3 linked regions of the Caenorhabditis elegans genome follow. The protein of the gene in region 2 purifies or fractionates together with the protein of the main gene of each other region. This does not show direct contact. Each region holds a gene or a part of one and is shown on either strand. Other genes may lie near its edges.

Evidence for each region.
Region 1: the proteins of efl-1 (region 2) and lin-54 purify together in Caenorhabditis elegans (affinity purification with western blotting, with the first as the bait; one study listed by BioGRID). This does not show direct contact.
Region 3: the proteins of efl-1 (region 2) and dpl-1 purify together in Caenorhabditis elegans (affinity purification with western blotting; 2 studies listed by BioGRID). This does not show direct contact.

The regions. Positions count from the first base shown.
Region 1 is NC_003282.8:13,239,173-13,243,926, reverse strand, and holds lin-54 (Protein lin-54), read right to left. Parts: upstream 2,877-4,754; 5' UTR 2,860-2,876; coding exon 2,734-2,859; intron 2,692-2,733; coding exon 2,536-2,691; intron 2,485-2,535; coding exon 2,376-2,484; intron 2,330-2,375; coding exon 2,224-2,329; intron 2,174-2,223; coding exon 1,786-2,173; intron 1,245-1,785; coding exon 999-1,244; intron 945-998; coding exon 768-944; 3' UTR 526-767; downstream 1-525. Other genes in the region: JC8.4 (CMP/dCMP-type deaminase domain-containing protein), read right to left, coding at 1-252; rpl-12 (Large ribosomal subunit protein uL11), read left to right, coding at 3,367-3,403, 3,529-3,783, 3,994-4,101, 4,151-4,248; tag-115 (SAC3/GANP/THP3 conserved domain-containing protein), read left to right, coding at 4,515-4,754. UniProt on the Caenorhabditis elegans protein: Synthetic multivulva class B (synMuvB) protein. SynMuvB proteins are required to repress the induction of vulval development by Ras signaling and probably act by forming the multiprotein DRM complex that repress transcription.
Region 2 is NC_003283.11:16,959,667-16,967,629, forward strand, and holds the start of efl-1 (E2F/DP family winged-helix DNA-binding domain-containing protein), read right to left. Parts: upstream 6,010-7,963; 5' UTR 6,008-6,009; coding exon 5,860-6,007; intron 5,814-5,859; coding exon 5,683-5,813; intron 5,636-5,682; coding exon 5,526-5,635; intron 4,868-5,525; coding exon 4,717-4,867; intron 3,929-4,716; coding exon 3,785-3,928; intron 732-3,784; coding exon 497-731; intron 1-496. Other genes in the region: fbxa-90 (F-box domain-containing protein), read left to right, coding at 7,248-7,318, 7,366-7,963.
Region 3 is NC_003280.10:9,168,328-9,173,090, reverse strand, and holds dpl-1 (Transcription factor dpl-1), read right to left. Parts: upstream 3,182-4,763; 5' UTR 3,135-3,181; coding exon 3,126-3,134; intron 3,080-3,125; coding exon 2,744-3,079; intron 2,696-2,743; coding exon 2,430-2,695; intron 2,387-2,429; coding exon 2,318-2,386; intron 2,269-2,317; coding exon 2,171-2,268; intron 2,128-2,170; coding exon 2,014-2,127; intron 1,967-2,013; coding exon 1,772-1,966; intron 1,728-1,771; coding exon 1,543-1,727; intron 1,497-1,542; coding exon 1,335-1,496; intron 1,287-1,334; coding exon 1,028-1,286; intron 984-1,027; coding exon 880-983; 3' UTR 526-879; downstream 1-525. Other genes in the region: T23G7.2 (Calcineurin-like phosphoesterase domain-containing protein), read left to right, coding at 166-240, 292-357, 409-510, 3,699-3,791, 3,842-3,946, 3,997-4,085, 4,138-4,422, 4,469-4,588 and 1 more. UniProt on the Caenorhabditis elegans protein: Synthetic multivulva class B (synMuvB) protein. SynMuvB proteins are required to repress the induction of vulval development by Ras signaling and probably act by forming the multiprotein DRM complex that represses transcription.

The DNA of each region.
Region 1 (4,754 bases), on a different chromosome or scaffold from region 2:
CGTGGATTTTTTGAGCAGATCCTCGCAGCCCGTTCCGTGCTCTTTCCACATTTCAGTGACTGCTACCATCTCAGCATGCCTTGTCGGATCACCGGTCTCGTTCACACGATTCCGACCTCTTCCAATTTCTGTTCCATTGACCACAAATACACATCCAACTGGAACTTCATCTTCATCTAAAGCTTCTTGAGCCAATTCGAAGGCTTTTTCCAGAAATGCAGTGTCCTCGGCGCTCAGCTCGTTTTCTGACATTTCTAATAAATTTTCTAGGTTTTAAAGGTGTACTAATTCGCATTTTAATTATTTTTTGCACAATAAAAATTAATTTTAATTTTAATCGCAGACCAGCGATGCATATTGTGCGCCGAAACACTCCTGAATAGCTTTGTTTAAAATAGGAGCGTGTTTCGGCGCACAATACGCAATTAAAATTTAATTTAAACTTCTGAATCAAAAAATCAAACATTTCTCGAAATAATTACTTTGCTGGGAACAAATGTGCAACTATGCTGCCAAATAATAAAAAAAAGACACAAAACTTCATAAATATAACACAATAATTTCTAAAATTGAAGAGACGCAGGTGAGTTAGTAAAAATGAAACAAATTTTTCTGATCATTTTTTATTTGACAACTTTGAAAGAAGGCAACTTGTGAATCTGTAAAAGCATTGAGAGGAGGGGAGGAAGGCAAAGAATGTGTGAGAGGTGAGATCATAAAAGATCGCGCAACTGTGATAAAATTGATAATAATTTTAATGCGAATAGTTAAGAAGTACTAGTAGATGGTCCTGGGATGTCATCCGTTGGAGCGGCATCAAGATCTTGTGTGAGCTCAGTTGTGTTTGTGATCATTTGTTCGAGACAGCGGCCGAATTCACGAAGGACAAGCTTCTCCATATTGATGAGTTTTTCGTCTTCGGTTTGCACTTTTTCGTAGTTTAACTGCAAAGAAAAAAAATTAAATTCAATAGGAAACCAATTGATTTTCCAACTAACAGCTTCTTCAGCTTGAGCAACCATGCACATAGTGGCTGCCTCAACGACTTCATCGGTCATATAGTACCACGGGAAGCGTCTAGGATCCATCTCGACCTTCGGTTTATGCGAAAGAAGCATATCCTCGTAGTCGTCTCCATGCTCATCGGTCACCACACTTCCCGGACCAGAATCTGGAGTCGCTGTGCTGGAAGCGTTGGTCAATGACATCAGGGCATTCGTATTGGACACGGCACCACCGGAGTTCTGAAATTAAAATTTGAATAAGAAATTAAATTTATTGCAAGAATTGCGGTATTTTGAACGTATAGAGATCCAAAATATGATTTTTTTAAATTTGAAAAAGGTGAAATTTGAGCTAAAATATTCAATTTTGGCCACTTTTCCGCGTCGAAGCGGTCGGAAATTGACATTTTTAAAATTATCATCTTTTATTGCATATTTTGGTATTTTATCTAACGTTTTTTTAAAAATTTCATCAATTAAAGTACATTTAAGGCCGAGAGGTGACCAAAAATGATCGAAATTGGTTACCGATCAGCTTTAAATGTACCTTAATCAATGAAATAACGTCAGATAAAATACCAAAATATTCAATAAAAGATGATAATTCAAAAAAAGTCAGCTTCCGACCGCTGGGACACGGAAAAGTGATCAAAATTAGCCTTTTTCGGAATTTTGAACTGCCAAACAAAACTTGTTAATTTGAGCACATTTGTTAGCCTATACGTTCGAAAAATCCAGAATCGTTACTCCATTTTTTAAACTGAATTATAGGAAATTGCACCTTGTATCTTGTCATTCTGTATGTTTCAGTATTCTGACATCCTTTGCACTTGCATCGATCGGTACACGGAACCTTTGCTTCATAACACTCACAATAGTTTTTCAGACAACCACTCTTTTTACAGTGACATCCTTTCTGATGAAGACGTTCGATGTCGGTAATACCTCCACGAGCAATACCAATTTTTGGCTTGAAAGCGTTCGGATTTCGCTCAAGTGACTGACGGATGGCTTTTGAACGCTGACTGTCGTATTCTATATTATTGTGACAATCCTTGCAATTGCAGTCACGACAGAACTCTCCATTGGCGAAACAATCACAGTAGAGCTTGAGGCATTGAGATTTCGTGCAATTGCATGGTTTCCGCTGGCCAGGTGCAAATACTTTTCTTGAAAAATAGAGGAATTAGTGAAAAGTTACAAAATTTGAGTTCTTTACTTTTTAGTTTTCAATCTAATATGACTAACGTGATCTTTCATATCGATGTAAACTTTTCGCTGTTCAGAATTTCCCATCTCCAAGCCCATTGGTTGCACTGTTCTAGCTTAAATAAAATAATTATTAGGACAAAAGATCTCTAGTTTACGAACGTAATGAAGCGGGCTGTCGATCGTACATTGAAGGTGAACCCGATAAATTGGACAAATTCCGCACAGTGTACTGAGACGATCCGGGAGTGCTGGGCCCAGGCTGAAAAAGCTTCCAAAGAGGTTAGTCAATTCGTAAAAAATCGAAAATTTTTAAAATTACTTTTCGCTGAACTGGTCTCGGAGGGGGGACGTAGACGCGATGCGATGATGTATCAATTGGTTCGTCTTTGACCAATCCCTGATTAACTTCCATTGATCGATTATGCTGTTGAATCATACTCGAGGTTCCCGGACGATTTTGCTGCGCCTGTAAGTTCTGAGAAAAGTTTATTTTTATTTCGAATTGAAAACAAATTACTGGATTATGAGGCACAAGCTGTCCATTAACTTCGATAAATTCGGCACCTTCTTCATAATTATCGTATATCTCCGATTCGTCGTAATAATCATCGTCGTCTTGATAAACGATTTCTCCTTGATTCATTGTCAACACTGAAAATACTGAAAAATAACTAATCAGGAAAACAATGTTTTAGCATTTGGAAAGAGATTAAACGAAAAGAAATTAAGTTATCTTGCCAGAAAATTCCCAACAAAAAAAAAAGAACATCGTTTTGAGGATGAAATACAACTTATTTACGTTCCTTTTTGAACCAAAATTTCATTTTTCGCCGTCTAAATACTTTCAAAAATGTTAAATTAGTAACTTATTTCTTGAAAATCAATAATTCAATAAGATTTAATATTAATAAATTTAAAAAACACCCAAAAAAAGGATTAAAAAATTGTTTCGCGCGCCGAAATTTGATTAAACAAAAATAATGCAAGTGCGCTCCACAGTTAATGTTGTTTGAAAATTGACATCGACAATTCGCTGCGTAGCGACGCAACAACCATTGTGATACGGAGTCAATTCGCCGGCGCCAAGTCCTCGCGACGAATTTTTTCTCACTTTTGTCACCGCCGGTATCCCTGGTAGACGTCACTCATCATGCCACCAAAGTTCGACCCAACTGAGATTAAGATCGGTAAGTTGCTCATTTTTGTGCACATTTAATTAGGTATTTGACGTATTATGCGTGATTTTCAATTTGTCAAAGATTTCATCATCGTGATTTTTGAAAAACTCTTTTGCATCATTTTCACTTTTCAGTGTACCTCCGTTGCGTCGGAGGAGAAGTCGGAGCCACCTCCGCTCTTGCCCCAAAGGTCGGACCACTTGGATTGTCTCCAAAGAAGATCGGAGAAGACATCGCCAAGGCCACCCAAGACTGGAAGGGTCTTAAGGTCACCTGCAAATTGACCATCCAGAACCGTGTTGCCAAGATCGACGTTGTCCCATCTGCTGCTTCCCTCATCGTCAAGGAGCTCAAGGAGCCACCACGTGACCGCAAGAAGGTCAAGAACGGTACGCATTTAATGCGTTGGGTCGGGAGTCGATATGCTCTCATCCCCTGGTCTCTTACTTCATAAGTTTGTAAAAGTTTGTGACTTAAAGACTAGTAACCTAAGTGATTTTCATGCTCCGTGAGTTTGATTTTTCCTGGGTTTGGTGTTGTCTCGTCCCAACGGGTTGTTTAATCAATCTAGTTTAACGTTTTGCACGTTTCCATTTCAGTGAAGCACAATGGAGACCTCACTGTTGACACCATCATCAAGATCGCCAGAATCATGAGACCAAGATCGATGGCCAAGAAACTTGAAGGAACCGTCAAGGAGATCCTTGGTAATATTTCGAAAACGATAAACTGTTTCTAAATATTGTATTTTTTCAGGAACAGCCCAATCCGTTGGATGCACAATTGATGGACAACACCCACACGACATCATCGAGTCGATCGCCAATGGAGAGATCGAGATCCCAGCTCAATGATCTGTCACTTGTTTTTGTTGTTCCAATAAATTCTTGTTACTATCTGCGTGTATTTTGATAAATATCTCAATAAATCATGCAAGACGTCTAATTTAGAATTTGTATCGAAAGACACTGGTGTTGGGATTCATTTGTTATCTATTTCTGGTAAAAGAACTCGTGCTTCGTCGCTTTTCGAAATCGATTTTTGCGTGGAGAGAAACTGCGCTCTGATGAATTTTTTCTTCAGTTTATTTTATTTTAAAATATTTTCGCTTCATTCAGAAATGGCCTCGTGTGAATCAATGTGCCCAGTCGCTGAAATAAATTTTCGAAGCCGGAATCATCTGATAGATCAATTAGAAGCTACTGCATCGACTAGTTCAGGACCCCGGTCAAAATACGTTGCAGATCCGACGAAAATGGTCAAAGAGTACTCACGATCAGCTGCTGACACCCATAAATACAACAAACCGGAACTATTAAGGCCTTTTCCCGTTCTACAACACACAATAGACTATCTTCTG
Region 2 (7,963 bases):
AGAGGTAATTTTCCCAAATTTTCCCAGTTTTTCTGTAATTTTTAAAAGAATTTTATGTAATTCAGTTTATGCTTTTTTTTGTGAAAATTTTCTCAAATTTTTTGGCGGATTTCTAGGTTTTCCGGTTTTTTTTTTCAATTTTTTTTGTTAAAAAACAGTTTTGATGTTTTTTTCGCTTAAATTTCAAATTTTCATGTGAAAAAATCTGAGAATTATTTTTCGATTCGAAAAACTCTAGAAAACGGTGCAGAAAACAAAAGGAAAATGTTTTTTATCAGAAAAAGTAAATTTTTTGGATTTTTTAGCTTCGAAAAAACGTCCATAAAAGTCCAGTTTTTTTGGTGTTTTCTTGGAAAAAATGATGATTTTTCCAATTTTTTTTTTCAAAATTCTTCATTTTTAAGCTATTTTTTAGCTACTTTCAGTGAAAAAAATCCATTTTTTCTCAAAATTCTGCTTTAAAAAATAAGCAAAATTTCCAGCAATTCAGCAGCACCTTTCTGCTCAAAACCAAACATTTCATCATCATTGATCGTCCGCCGATTCCGATATCTTGAATCATCCATCATTTCATCTGGAGCATCAGCGTCAACGTGCTCTTCACCAGGCCGTTTTGCTCGTTCTCTCTGTACAAAATCATGTAGCTCATGGTTGGAAACGATGGCGGCTCGGAGGGGTCCAGAGGGATCTTTCAGGTAACACCAAGATGGTCCACCGTGTATCTCGACTTGCTGCAATTTTTTTTATTGGAAAAAATGGGGAAAAAATAAAAATTGAAAATTTTCGATTTTTTGTTGAAAAAAAAAATTTTTTCCGGAATTTTCTAAAATTTATCAAAAATTTTATAAACAATTTTTTTAAAATTTTTATTCTGATTTTTTTTTAATTGTCTTGTTTTTTAGAGCCAAATAGAGCGAAAATTGCGTTTTTTTTTTTGAAAATCTTTTTCAGTTTTTTCAGGAATTTTCTGAAATTTATCGAAAAAAAATTCTGTGAATTTTAAAATCAATTAAAAAAAATTTTTTTTCTGATTTTTAACAAAATATTTTGAAAAAAAACTATTTTTTTTGTATTTTACGACAATTTTATGAAAATCGTCAAATTTCCATTAAAAAACCGCCAAATTGTGCGAAATTTACAAAAAAATTCTGCTTTTGCTGAATTTAAGAAACAAGTGTAATTTTTTCAAAATCTTTTAGAACAAATAATTTGTAAATTTTTAGAATTTATTTTTCGTCGTTTTTCAGCCAAAAATTTATTTTTTAAATACTTTTTTACAAATTTGCATACAAAAAAAGCGAAAACTGAGAAAAAAAAAACACAAAAATTTTTTGTGTAGATTTACGCAGCTTGTGTAGTCCCCGAAGAGAAGTTTTTAGTTTTTTTGGCAGAAATTTCGGTTTTTGGACAGTTTTCTAGGTTTTTATGCATTTCACATAGAAATAATGCTTTTTTTCGATCAAAAATCGACTTTCTGCAATTTTTTTAAAATTTCATTGGAAAAAATGGGGGAAAATAAAAATTGAAAATTTTTTTTTGAAAAAAAAGAAGATTTTTCCGGAATTTTCTAAAATTTATCAAAAATTTTATAAACAATTTTTTTAAAAATTTTTATTCTGATATTTTTTAATTTGTCTTGTTTTTTAGAGCCAAATAGAGCGAAAATTGCGTTTTTTTTTGAAAATCTTTTTCAGTTTTTTCAGGAATTTTTTGAAATTTATCAAAAAAAATTCTATGAATTTTTTAATAATTTTTGTTCGGATTTTTTACAAAATTTTGTGTTTTTAACAAAATATTTTGAAAAAAAGTCTATTTTTTTGTATTTTACGACAGTTTTACGAAAATCGTCAAATTTACAACAAAAAAAAAATGAAAACTCGCCAAATTTTGGGAAATTTACAAAAAAATTCTGCTTTTTTTTTGGAAAAAAAGAGCATTTTTTTCCTTTTTTTTTTTTCTAAAAATTGAAAATGTTTCTTCTTTTTTTTACGTTTTTATTTAATTTTTTCGTTTTATCAATTTTTTATCCAAAAAAAAAATTATTTGTGTAGATTTACGCAGCTCGTGTACTCCCCGAGGAGAGGCTTTTACACTTTTTCAGCAGAAAATCAAATTTTTTGAAGAATGTTCGTTATTTTTGCTAAAAATCAGGGAAATTTAAGAAACAAGTGTGATTTAAAAAAAATTTTTTAGAACAAATGATTTGTAAATTGTTTAAAATTATTTTTCGTCGTTCTTCAGCCAAAAAAAAATTTTTGTTGATATTTTTTACAAATTTGCATACAAAAAAAAAAGCGAAAATTGAGAAAAAAAACAGGAAAATATTGTGTAGATTTACGCAGCTCGTAGTCCCCGAGGACAAGCTTTTACACTTTTTTGACAGAAGATTCAGTTTTTGGGCAGTCTTCTATTACGGGAACAATATATCATGAGAATGCGTACTTGGTGCATTTTATTTGACGCGCGATATCTCTTAGCGAAAACTACAGTAAGAACTCAAATAACAATAGATATTTAAGCATTTACTGTATGTAGTTTTCGCTAAGAGATATCGCGCGTCAAATAAAATGCACCAAGTACGCATTCTCATGATTTATTGTTCCCGTAATAGGTTTTTATGCATTTCACATAGAAATAATGCTTTTTTTCGATCAAAAATCGACTTGCTGCAATTTTAATTTCATTGGAAAAAATGGGGGAAAATAAAAATTGAAAATGTTCGATTTTTTTTTTGAAAAAAAAGAAGATTTTTCCGAAATTTTCTAAAATTTATCAAAAATTTTATAAACAATTTTTTTAAAATTTTTATTCTGATTTTTGTTTAATTGTCTTGTTTTTTAGAGCCAAATAGAGCGAAAATTGCGTTTTTTTTTTTGAAAATCTTTTTCAGTTTTTTCAGGAATTTTCTGAAATTTATCGAAAAAAATTCTGTGAATTTTAAAATCAATTAAAAAAAATTTTTTTTCTGATTTTTAACAAAATATTTCGAAAAAAAGTCTATTTTTTTGTATTTTACGACAGTTTTACGAAAATCGTCAAATTTACAACAAAAAAAAAATGAAAACTCGCCAAATTTTGGGAAATTTACAAAAAAAAATTCTGCTTTTTTTTGGAAAAAGGAGCTTTTTTTTTCTTTTTTTTTTCTAAAAATTGAAAAAGTTTCTTCTTTTTTTTTAACATTTTTATTTAATTTTTTCGTTTTATCAATTTTTAGCTGAAAAAAATTATTTGTGTAGATTTACGCAGCCCGTGTACTCCCCGAGGGGAGGCTTTTACACTTTTTTTAGCAGAAAATCAAATTTTTTGAAGAATTTTCGTTATTTTTGCTAAAAATCAGGGAAATTTAAGAATTTTTAAAAAATTTTTAGAACAAATAATTTGTATTTAAATATTGTTTAAAATTATGTTTCACCGTTTTTCAGCCAAAAATTTATTTTTTTGATATTTTTTTTACAAATTTGCATACAAAAAACACAGAAAAATATTGCGTAGATTTACGCAGCTCGTGTACTCCACGAGGAGAAGTTTTTACACTTTTTTGACAGAAATTTCGGTTTTTGGACAGTCTTCTAGTTTTTTATGTATTTTAAATTAAAAAATTCATTTTTCTCATCGAAAATTCTTAAAAAGAATTAATTTTGAGCAAAAATCAGCGTTTTTTTCAGTTAAAATCGGGTTTTGTACCCGTTTTTTCCAAGAAAAATATGAATTTTCCACAATTTTCCAGGTTTTTCCATTAAATTTTCATTGAAAATTCCAATTTTCGCGTCATTTTCTTCTCTACCTCCGGATCACTGAGCCGAACTTGTGTGCCGACTCTCGTTTGAATTCCAATCGTAAGATCTGAGCCTTGAATCTCGGCGAGCTGTGAACGGAGCACATAGCTGAGCTTGTTGTTCTCCACGGATTCTGTCATGTTTCGGAGGCTCTGAAATTTGAGAATTTCAGCGGTTTTGGCTTAAAACTGTCGAAAAATTGACCAAAAATTTCAAAAAAAAATTGTGGAAAATTTGGCTCAGATTGCCTGAAATTTCCTATAAATTTTCAGAAAAATTGTCCGCAATTTTAATGAATTTTTGACCATTTTTCAGCGAATTTTCCAGAAGTTTTGACTGAATTTTTAAGAAATTTTCTGCCAAATTTCAGCAGTTTTGGACCAATTTCAAGCAATTTTTAGCCGAAATTTCCAGAATTTATTTTACAAAATTTTCATCATTTTGGCACCATTTTTATCTTGATTTTCTCGAAATTTCATCCATATTTTTTTCAGAAAATTGGAGGAAATTTTGGCAAAATTTCAGCAGTTTTCAACGATTTTCAGACTAATTTTTCAGGAAGTTAAGTCAAATTTTCAGCTTTTTTCAGCGATTTTCAGCCCCATTATTTCTAAATTTCGGCTCAATTTTTAATGATGTTCAGCCATATTTTTCCAGAATTTTCGACTGAATTTTTCTATTTTTTTCAGGACTTTTTGGTTAAATTTTTTCCAATTTCCAGCCTTATTTCCAGTGATTTTTGCTCAATTTTCTATCAAAATTAGCCAGTTTTTGCTCAATTTTGATCAAATTTTTAGCGACTTTCAGCAAATAATTCTCAATTTTCGGCTGAATTTTTCTGAAATTTTTGGTCATTTTTCAGCCAATTTTTGCGTAAATTTGGCTCAATTTTCATCGATTTTCAGCAAATTTTTCATCAAATTTTCTGGAAATTCGCTACCTGCTGAAGCCATCTTTGACGTTGCTCAATGAGCTCTTCTTCCTTATTTAATTGCTCAATTTCAGCTTTTAATTGTTCCATTCGATCTTCTTCTTCTGTTGTGGCCGATTGTCGTTTCCCTTCCTTCACGTTTAGCATAAAATCACCGCCTCTGAAAACAAAAAATTGAGTTTTCCGGGGAAAAATGTGCAAAAAAGCGGTTTTTGAGCCGGAAAATAGAGATTTTCACCGAAATTGGAGCGAAATTGAGGCTATTATAGAAAAATTGGCTTTGAAAATGTAATTTTGTGTTAAAAATGACCTTTTCTTGTGTTTTCTGGCTGAAAACCCGATTTTCCACGTAAAAATCTGAAATTTTCAGCAATTTTCATGTTTTTAAGCTGAAAAATAAGGATTTTGCCACAAAATTGAGCTTTGAATTGAAAATTTAACTTTAAAAAGTGATTTTGTGTCAAAAATGAAATTTTCATATGAAAATTCGATTTGTTTCGGTGAAAAATCTCAAAAATTAGTGTTTTAGAAATCGAATTTATCGATTTTTACAGGAAATAGGAGCTATATTCCAAAAAATGTGATTTTCATCCATTTTGCCGGAAAGCGCCATTTTTTGGCTGAAAATGCGATTTTTCACGTAAAAATCTGAAATTTTCCGAAATTTCTTGCATTTTAAGCTTTTTGAGCTGAAAAATCAATATTTTGACACAAAATTGATTTTTTTTCTAAACATGTCATTTTTCTTGTTAAAATACGATTTTCCGCCGATTCATTGAAAAACGTCATTTTTCCTGCTGAAAATTCGACTTTCTTACTTCCACTGTATCATATTCTTGCTTCTTTTCTCAATAAGACCAATTCCTTCGAGAACATTCGTAATATCGTAGATTCGTCGCTTTTGCCGGACATTGAGCGCCTCGGCGGCCTAAAAAATACGAAAATTGCGAAATTCACGATTTTTTTCAAAAATACAGTGTTCAAATCGCATCTTCCATACGGTGAGTACTGAATCATTCGAATAAATCGTTTCGCCAACAATCCCAACGATTTATCGGCTCGTGTGCCCATTTGTGGTTGATCCAGGTCCTCATCCTCGTCGAAATCTGGAAATTTCGGGGTTTTCGGCTTAAAATTCGACAAATATTGTACCAAAATCAAAGTCAAGCTCATTGTCGAGCCCGAGCATCAAATTGTTCTTTATCGAGCTCTGTTTGGTCATTTCCAGCGCTTTTTGAAGCTCCATGTCAGATAATTGGCGGAAGCCGGGGTCTTCCATGTCGTTGTACGAGTCTTCCATGGCTGAAATGCGGAATTTTAGTTGAAAAATCCGATTTTTTGGTTAAAAATGAGCTGAAAAACGAGAAAAATCAAGAAAAAACGAGAAAAACCAAGAGAAATCAATTTGAATTCCCCTCCAAAATGCGAGAAATGATGAGGTTTCGTCACGGATTAGAGACAATGGGAAAGGTGGAGACGCAGACGAGAAAGGTGCAGTGGAGCGCGCTTGCACTCAAATTTCCGCGGGAAAAAGTTTCGCTTGAATGAGAAGATAAAAATGAAAGAAGTACGTGGTTTTTTGAATGTATAATAAGGGGAAATTTGAATTTGAAGACAAAAAAAGTTAGAACCCAAAAAAATTGGGCCCCGTTAGGTATTTGGCGGCAAAACCGTAAATTCAGATAAAATGGGGTTATTCAAGTAGTGTCGTGAAATTAACCATCACTTTTTTTTAGCCATCACTTTTTTGTTTTTGTGGGCTCAAATCAGTTTTAACAAAAATTGAATTTGTAAAATTTCGCCTCCTTTGGTATTTTCACGTGGTGTCAGGCTGTCCCATGCCGGTTTGATCTACAAAAAGATTGTGACGTCACCACGTTATTAAAGGTGGAGTAGCGTCAGTGGGGAAAGTGTTAAAAACTACTCCAATAGTGTAAAAAAGATCAAATATCATAATAAAACTTCAAAAAAAAATTTTTGGCAATTTACCAAAATTTTGAATACGAGCTTTTGAGGAAATTTAAAGAAATGTCGCATGTTTCGACCCCTACAATGTTTTAATACGAATACACATGAACTGTTTGAAAAATGGCAAAAATAATTGAAAATCTTCGATATTACCGTTTTGCCATCGCCAAATACATAAGAAGGTCTAACTAATAGTTAGGCTTAGGCTCAAAAATTTGGCCTAAAATTAGTCTCAGGCTTAGCCGCAGGTCTTAGCTTTCTGTTTAAAATTTCGATGACTGCTACGTAAATTTCGTATGCGACTCCTGAAATTTCTGGAAGTAAGACAGTGAAAAGCCTGTCTGAATACACATGGTTTCAAACTAAGACTACATTTTATTTAAAGCCAAGGGTTCAAGCTGTGCCTACATTTTACAGGTTCAAGTTGGCGGCCAGTTCTGAAACACCTTCGGTGTCTGATTCTCATACTCTCTAGTCAGCTGGTGCGCCTGCGTCTCTGCGCTGTCCAACTAGGCCACTAGTCACAGAGAACTGTGTTGAAATCACTTCATTTTTTCTTCAAATTTCTCAAAATGTCATCACTCTCCGACTTGCCAATCGAACTTATTGAACAAATTTTGAATAATCTGGAAGCTTTGGAAAGGTGAGTTTTCCTTGTTTTTTTAAAGAAAAAAAGCATTGAAAATTCAGGCTAATCGCTCGAAAAGTGTCCTACAGCTTCCGAGCAATAATCGATAACCTCGGTCCAAATCTGAAGACGGTTCATGTAAATTTTCATGAAAAATTTTCAAGACTAATTCTCGATGAGAACTACGGCGGGGTTACCTATGAGCAAGTTGATGGAGCCTGCCAAGTTGAATATAAGAACAGTGGCCGAGTACATGCTGGAAGGAACCACGTTGAAATGTTGATGGAGGACTTGAAGAGCTTGGTGAAGTACCCTGAAGTTGATGAATTTCTGATACAGCTGGCTACCAACAATTTTAATGAAAGAAAAATCATTTTAAAGGCAATTGAGTCATTTTTCGAATCCTTAAACTTCAAGTTAAAAGCGAAAAAAGTGATTATCGATGACTTCACCGCCCGTGAAGTTTCTGAAATACTTCAGAAGTTCGAACCTGAAATTCTCGAAGAAATAACTCTCCAAGCTCAATTCCTAAAGTACTATGAGCCGATAAATGGCGTTGTGGAACTCGAGCAATGGAAGAAAGCTAAAATTCTGAACAACCGGTCCAAGTTTCTGATCCCTATTAAGCATATTGTAAATTTCACTCAATTTGACATAAAT
Region 3 (4,763 bases), on a different chromosome or scaffold from region 2:
AAATGGTCATTCTCTAAATTTTCTCCTTCTCCCGATAGAAATCGGATGTAAGGAGATGAGTTTGGGCGATAAACTGAGAGAGAACATTGACAATTCTATGCTAAACAGGAAAAGCGATCAGAAAAAAGATCTCGAGTGAGTATGTCTTCGCAGTTTCAATTTCAGATGAGTTTCGAGCGATTTCTCGTTTTTGGCTCGGTTATCTCCTGGATTCTGCTCACGTATTGCTCAAGATTTTGGGTGAGTTGATTTACATAAGCCCAGTTTTTTCTATAAGATATCATATTCCAGATTGAATCAGTGGAAGGATATTTAGTTGGTAACCGCCGTCGAGTCATTGCCGTGTTCCGCATTGAAGTGAGTTGCTTCTTCTAATTAAAAAATCTAATTAATTTAATCCAATTAAAGTGCATTTTAACTCTGTTAAATGTGTTTGCATACGGCCAGCTGATGAGATGGTTCGACGATGACATTGTCAAGGAGAAATCGTTGGATCGCCGAAAAATGCAGGTAAAACTAAAAATTATAATCTATCATTCTTTCATAAAAAATGATGGTAAAATCGGGAGCATTGAGTTACATATAATGCTGTCAAAGTCGGGGCATATAAGAAGCATATTTCAAAATGTCAAATTGAACACAAAATAATAATGTAAAAGGTAGATTATGAAATCTGTCGTCAATTCTAATCTGGCAAATGTCGGAATAGAATCGACGAAGAAGACTATACTATTTTAAAGATTAAAGAAGAGGGGATTTTAAAGGAGTCTAGAAATAAAATTGAAACTCGTATAGAAACTATTTTAAAAGCAGATGAGAATCGTTTGAGAACCTTTAAAAACTGGGAAAAGGGGGATAACAACTAGTTACATTAAACATTTACTGGAAATAATCGTATTCCTCCGGTTGAGGGTGTTGAATGAGAGCAGCGGCCTGCGCAGAAGTCATCGGCTGTTCCGTTTTGCGTTCAAATGTGCACATATCTGAAATTAAATTATTTAAATTATTTAAGGCAAATTTAAATTACCTTGCTCCATCATTTTCTTTTGTATAACTTGTTGAGCTGGAGATTGCTTTGGATTGTTGACAACAATTTTACGAATCACTTTCCGAACAATTGTGCCCGGCGGGTGTGGACCACCTGGAGCAACAATTCGCTGAGTTACGATTCGTTGTCCAGGTTGTAACTGATGTCCAGAAATGCTTCCAGCAGGATAGACAACTCTCTGTTGCACTTGATGTGGCTGACCCATATGACTCATTTGTGGTTGCTGTGGACGAACTCTCTGAAAAATAAGAAAAATCAGTTTGTGAAATCTTTAAAACGAACTTACATATCTCTGACCAACTGGCTGATGCATCGGTTGATGTCCTTGTGGCACGTAGTATTTTACAGGTCCTGAATTCACAGAAGTAGCTCCAGTTGAGAGCCTGCGATCTGGAGGTACAGTAGAGTACGGCCGATTGACAGTTCGAACGACGGGAGTCATATCATGCTGAAAATGTTTTAGTTGTACTGAAAAATCTTCATTTTGAACAAACCTTCATTGGTCCTTGTGTCTTCTGTACGTAATATCGTTTGGTAACGGGTGGTACTTGAAGAGGCGTGTTAACTTGAGCTCGAATCTTTTGTGGACTATAAGTATTATACATTGGCCCTCGGCTGGCTGATCCCTGATTAACATTCTTATCCATATCATAATCGCGTTCCATTATACCGGCAGCAGCTAGAAAAAACAATTTTTTTAATGTTTTTAAAAAACTTTTTTACCACTTCTGTCCTCACTTCCATCGTTTATCAAATGCTCCTGAAGCTGTCTGTTGAATCGCGATGAATATGACATTTGCGCCAAAGAGCTTGTCGGCTCAACGTATTGGGCTTGTGAGAGGTTCATAGACATTTGATCAGCAATCAACTGTTGTTGTTTTCTCTTTTCCTCTTTTTCTGCTTCAACCTTTTTACGGTCTGAAAATTGTGGTTTCCATGATTGATTTTTAAAAAGAAATACTTACTGGCAATGATTTCGTCGACATAGTGCTGGTGTAAGGTTGGCAAAAAGCTTTTCGCAGTTTTGACTTCTTCCGCTGTGGGATTTGTAGTCTCCAAACTGCATGCAAGGTTCAACTCTGAAAAATGTGGATCTTATCGGTTTTTGGCATTTAAATTTACTTTTTAAAATTTCGAAATCATCGTGAATTTCAAACTTCTTGTCGAACGAGAACAGAAATTCGGATTTGTCTGATGATACACTGCATTCCACATTTGCTCTTAAAAATAGATATTTGAGACTATTATAATTTTGGAATTTCAACTTACTCTTTATCAGTATTAATTATTAAAAACGGAAGATGAAGTACAGTGTCGTTTTCTGGGCGACCATTTTTGCTGAAAATTTAACTTTTCTAAAATATTTAACACTCAAACGTACTGCTCATTTTTTCTATTCCGTTCGACCAAATTTTTGTAAGAAACAATTTGCAATACCATTTCTTCGAGAGCCTGCTTTTTGGAACTTATGCTGGCTTCCCGTCGCGATTTCTCTTCTTCCAATCTCGAAATTTCTTGTGAAGCTGAAGCAGGAAGTCCAATCCATCTGATATCTTTCTTGCTTTTTGTGATGATATTCATTGCCAAAAGAACGTTCAACGCATCGTATACTCTCCTCCGAATATTTTTCATATCGTATTCTTGTTTCTAGAAAAAAAAAGTTTTTTTTCAAAAGAAGAAAAACAAACTTCTTACCACAACATCAATCTGCTTGATAAGATTATTTTGAAAGTAATCTGCTACCAGTTCATCAGCCACTTCATTGTAATTCGTCAATCCTTTTTCTTTCACCTTTTCACAAACTTTCGTGGAAAAATGTCTGAGTCCGGTTGGTTTGTCAGATTGTTGACCTCCTGCTCCACTAGATCCTCCAACTCCCGAAGGTTCATCCCAGCCCACAGGTTCATTGTGACTCTCATCTTGGTATGAACGAGGAAGACCTGTAGGCATTTGAACAATTCGTCTTCCCATACTCAGGGATACTTGTGGTCGACTTTGTGCCGGTTGGCCGATACGGGGATCGTAGTTTGTCTGCAAATGTTAGTTTAATATAATATCGATTTCTTATTTTACAAACCGGGTTCATTTCTACAGGACCTGCCTGGACGAATCAAGATTTTCGATTGCTTAGATCTGTAAATGATGACTTTGATTACGAGAAAAGCTACGAAAAGTGTTAATTATAAGAATAATGAATGATATTTTGTTGCCATCGTAAAAAACTGATTCTTTTCTGTTCTAAATCTAAATTTTATCGGTTTTTAAGAACGCTGCAATACAAACGTTAACCAGAACAATTTTTGATCAATACGTGAGAGAAATCAATAATATTCGGAAGATGGAGGAAAACAGAAAAAACCCAAATTTGAAGACGCGCCGTGCGTTGCGAGACCCATCAATGACGATAAACAACGCGAGAGGTGTCAAGGCGGAGTGTTGTTGCTGAACAAAATTTTCTTTTTTTTTCGTTCGACACTGAAATTTCAACAAATTGCAATATTCTTGTTGGAAAAAGTTAGCAAAACAAGAATTTGCTTTTAAATAAAAATTTATTTTGTTTTCCTGCTACGATTTCAAAGACCATAACTATTTTTCTCTTCAAATCGATTAAATCTTCTTCTCACCAAAAACTGACCTATTCTCATTTCAGACAATCCGGAAACGATGCTCGGATGGCCTTATTATTTTCCTAGTTCTCGGACAAGCGATTTATTTTATGTATTATGCCCCAGCATTTCTCCAGGTTTGTTTTTAGAAATTGTGTTGCTGTTAAAAGAGTCTCTTGCATTTCAGTGGCTTCTCTTCGATCTCACCTCAATCTGCGCGGGAATATGGACTAACATGATTGCATTCGTATGTGGATTTGGGATTGTTAATTTCTATGCTGGAAAAATGAAGGTAATATTAATTTCAATAATATTTAAATTATTTTAAAAAAATTTTCTCAGATGTTCCATTACACCGCTTCGATTTTGGAAATAATAGGAAAGGTTCCTTATTTTAACGATCTCATGTGGAAAAGAAGATCTCAAATAAAGTAACAAAAAACATCTCATTTCGGAACTTATCATTAAAAATGTTATTTTCAGATTCACAATGATAATCACCTTGCTTCTGTCAGTCAGTATGTTTATATCACGCGATTGGATTGTTGTCAAAGAAAAGACCATCAAAATAAAAAACTTCACTGCTGATGGAAATCGATTAAAATTGGCAGTGATCTCTGATTTGCACGCTGGTGCAAGTGTTTATTCGGAACAAATCAATCAAGTTGTCGAAAAAGTGCTTGAAAATCCAGTTGATGCTATTCTGATTGTTGGAGATATGGTAGATGCTCCTGTTGCGGAAATCGAGGATAGAGTTCGACCAATTCTGTAGGCGAATTAGTTTGATTCACAAAATTTCAATTTTTGTTTTCAGTCAACTCCCTGCTCACGCACCTACTTATTTCGTAACTGGCAATCATGAATATTATTATGGAGACGTTCAGGAATGGATAAGATTCTACAAAAATGGCCGTATTAATGTTCTTGAAAACGAGTAAGTTTTACAAAGTTTTTGAGTTTTTCTTGGAAGTAACAGTGATATTTTTCAGAAGTACAATGCTGAAAGGAGTCTGTTTGGCTGGAGTAAACGATATTTCAAGTCCGAAATCTGGAATCTTGAACACTAAAATGGATCTACCAAAAGCCATCCATCGATGTCCATCAAATAC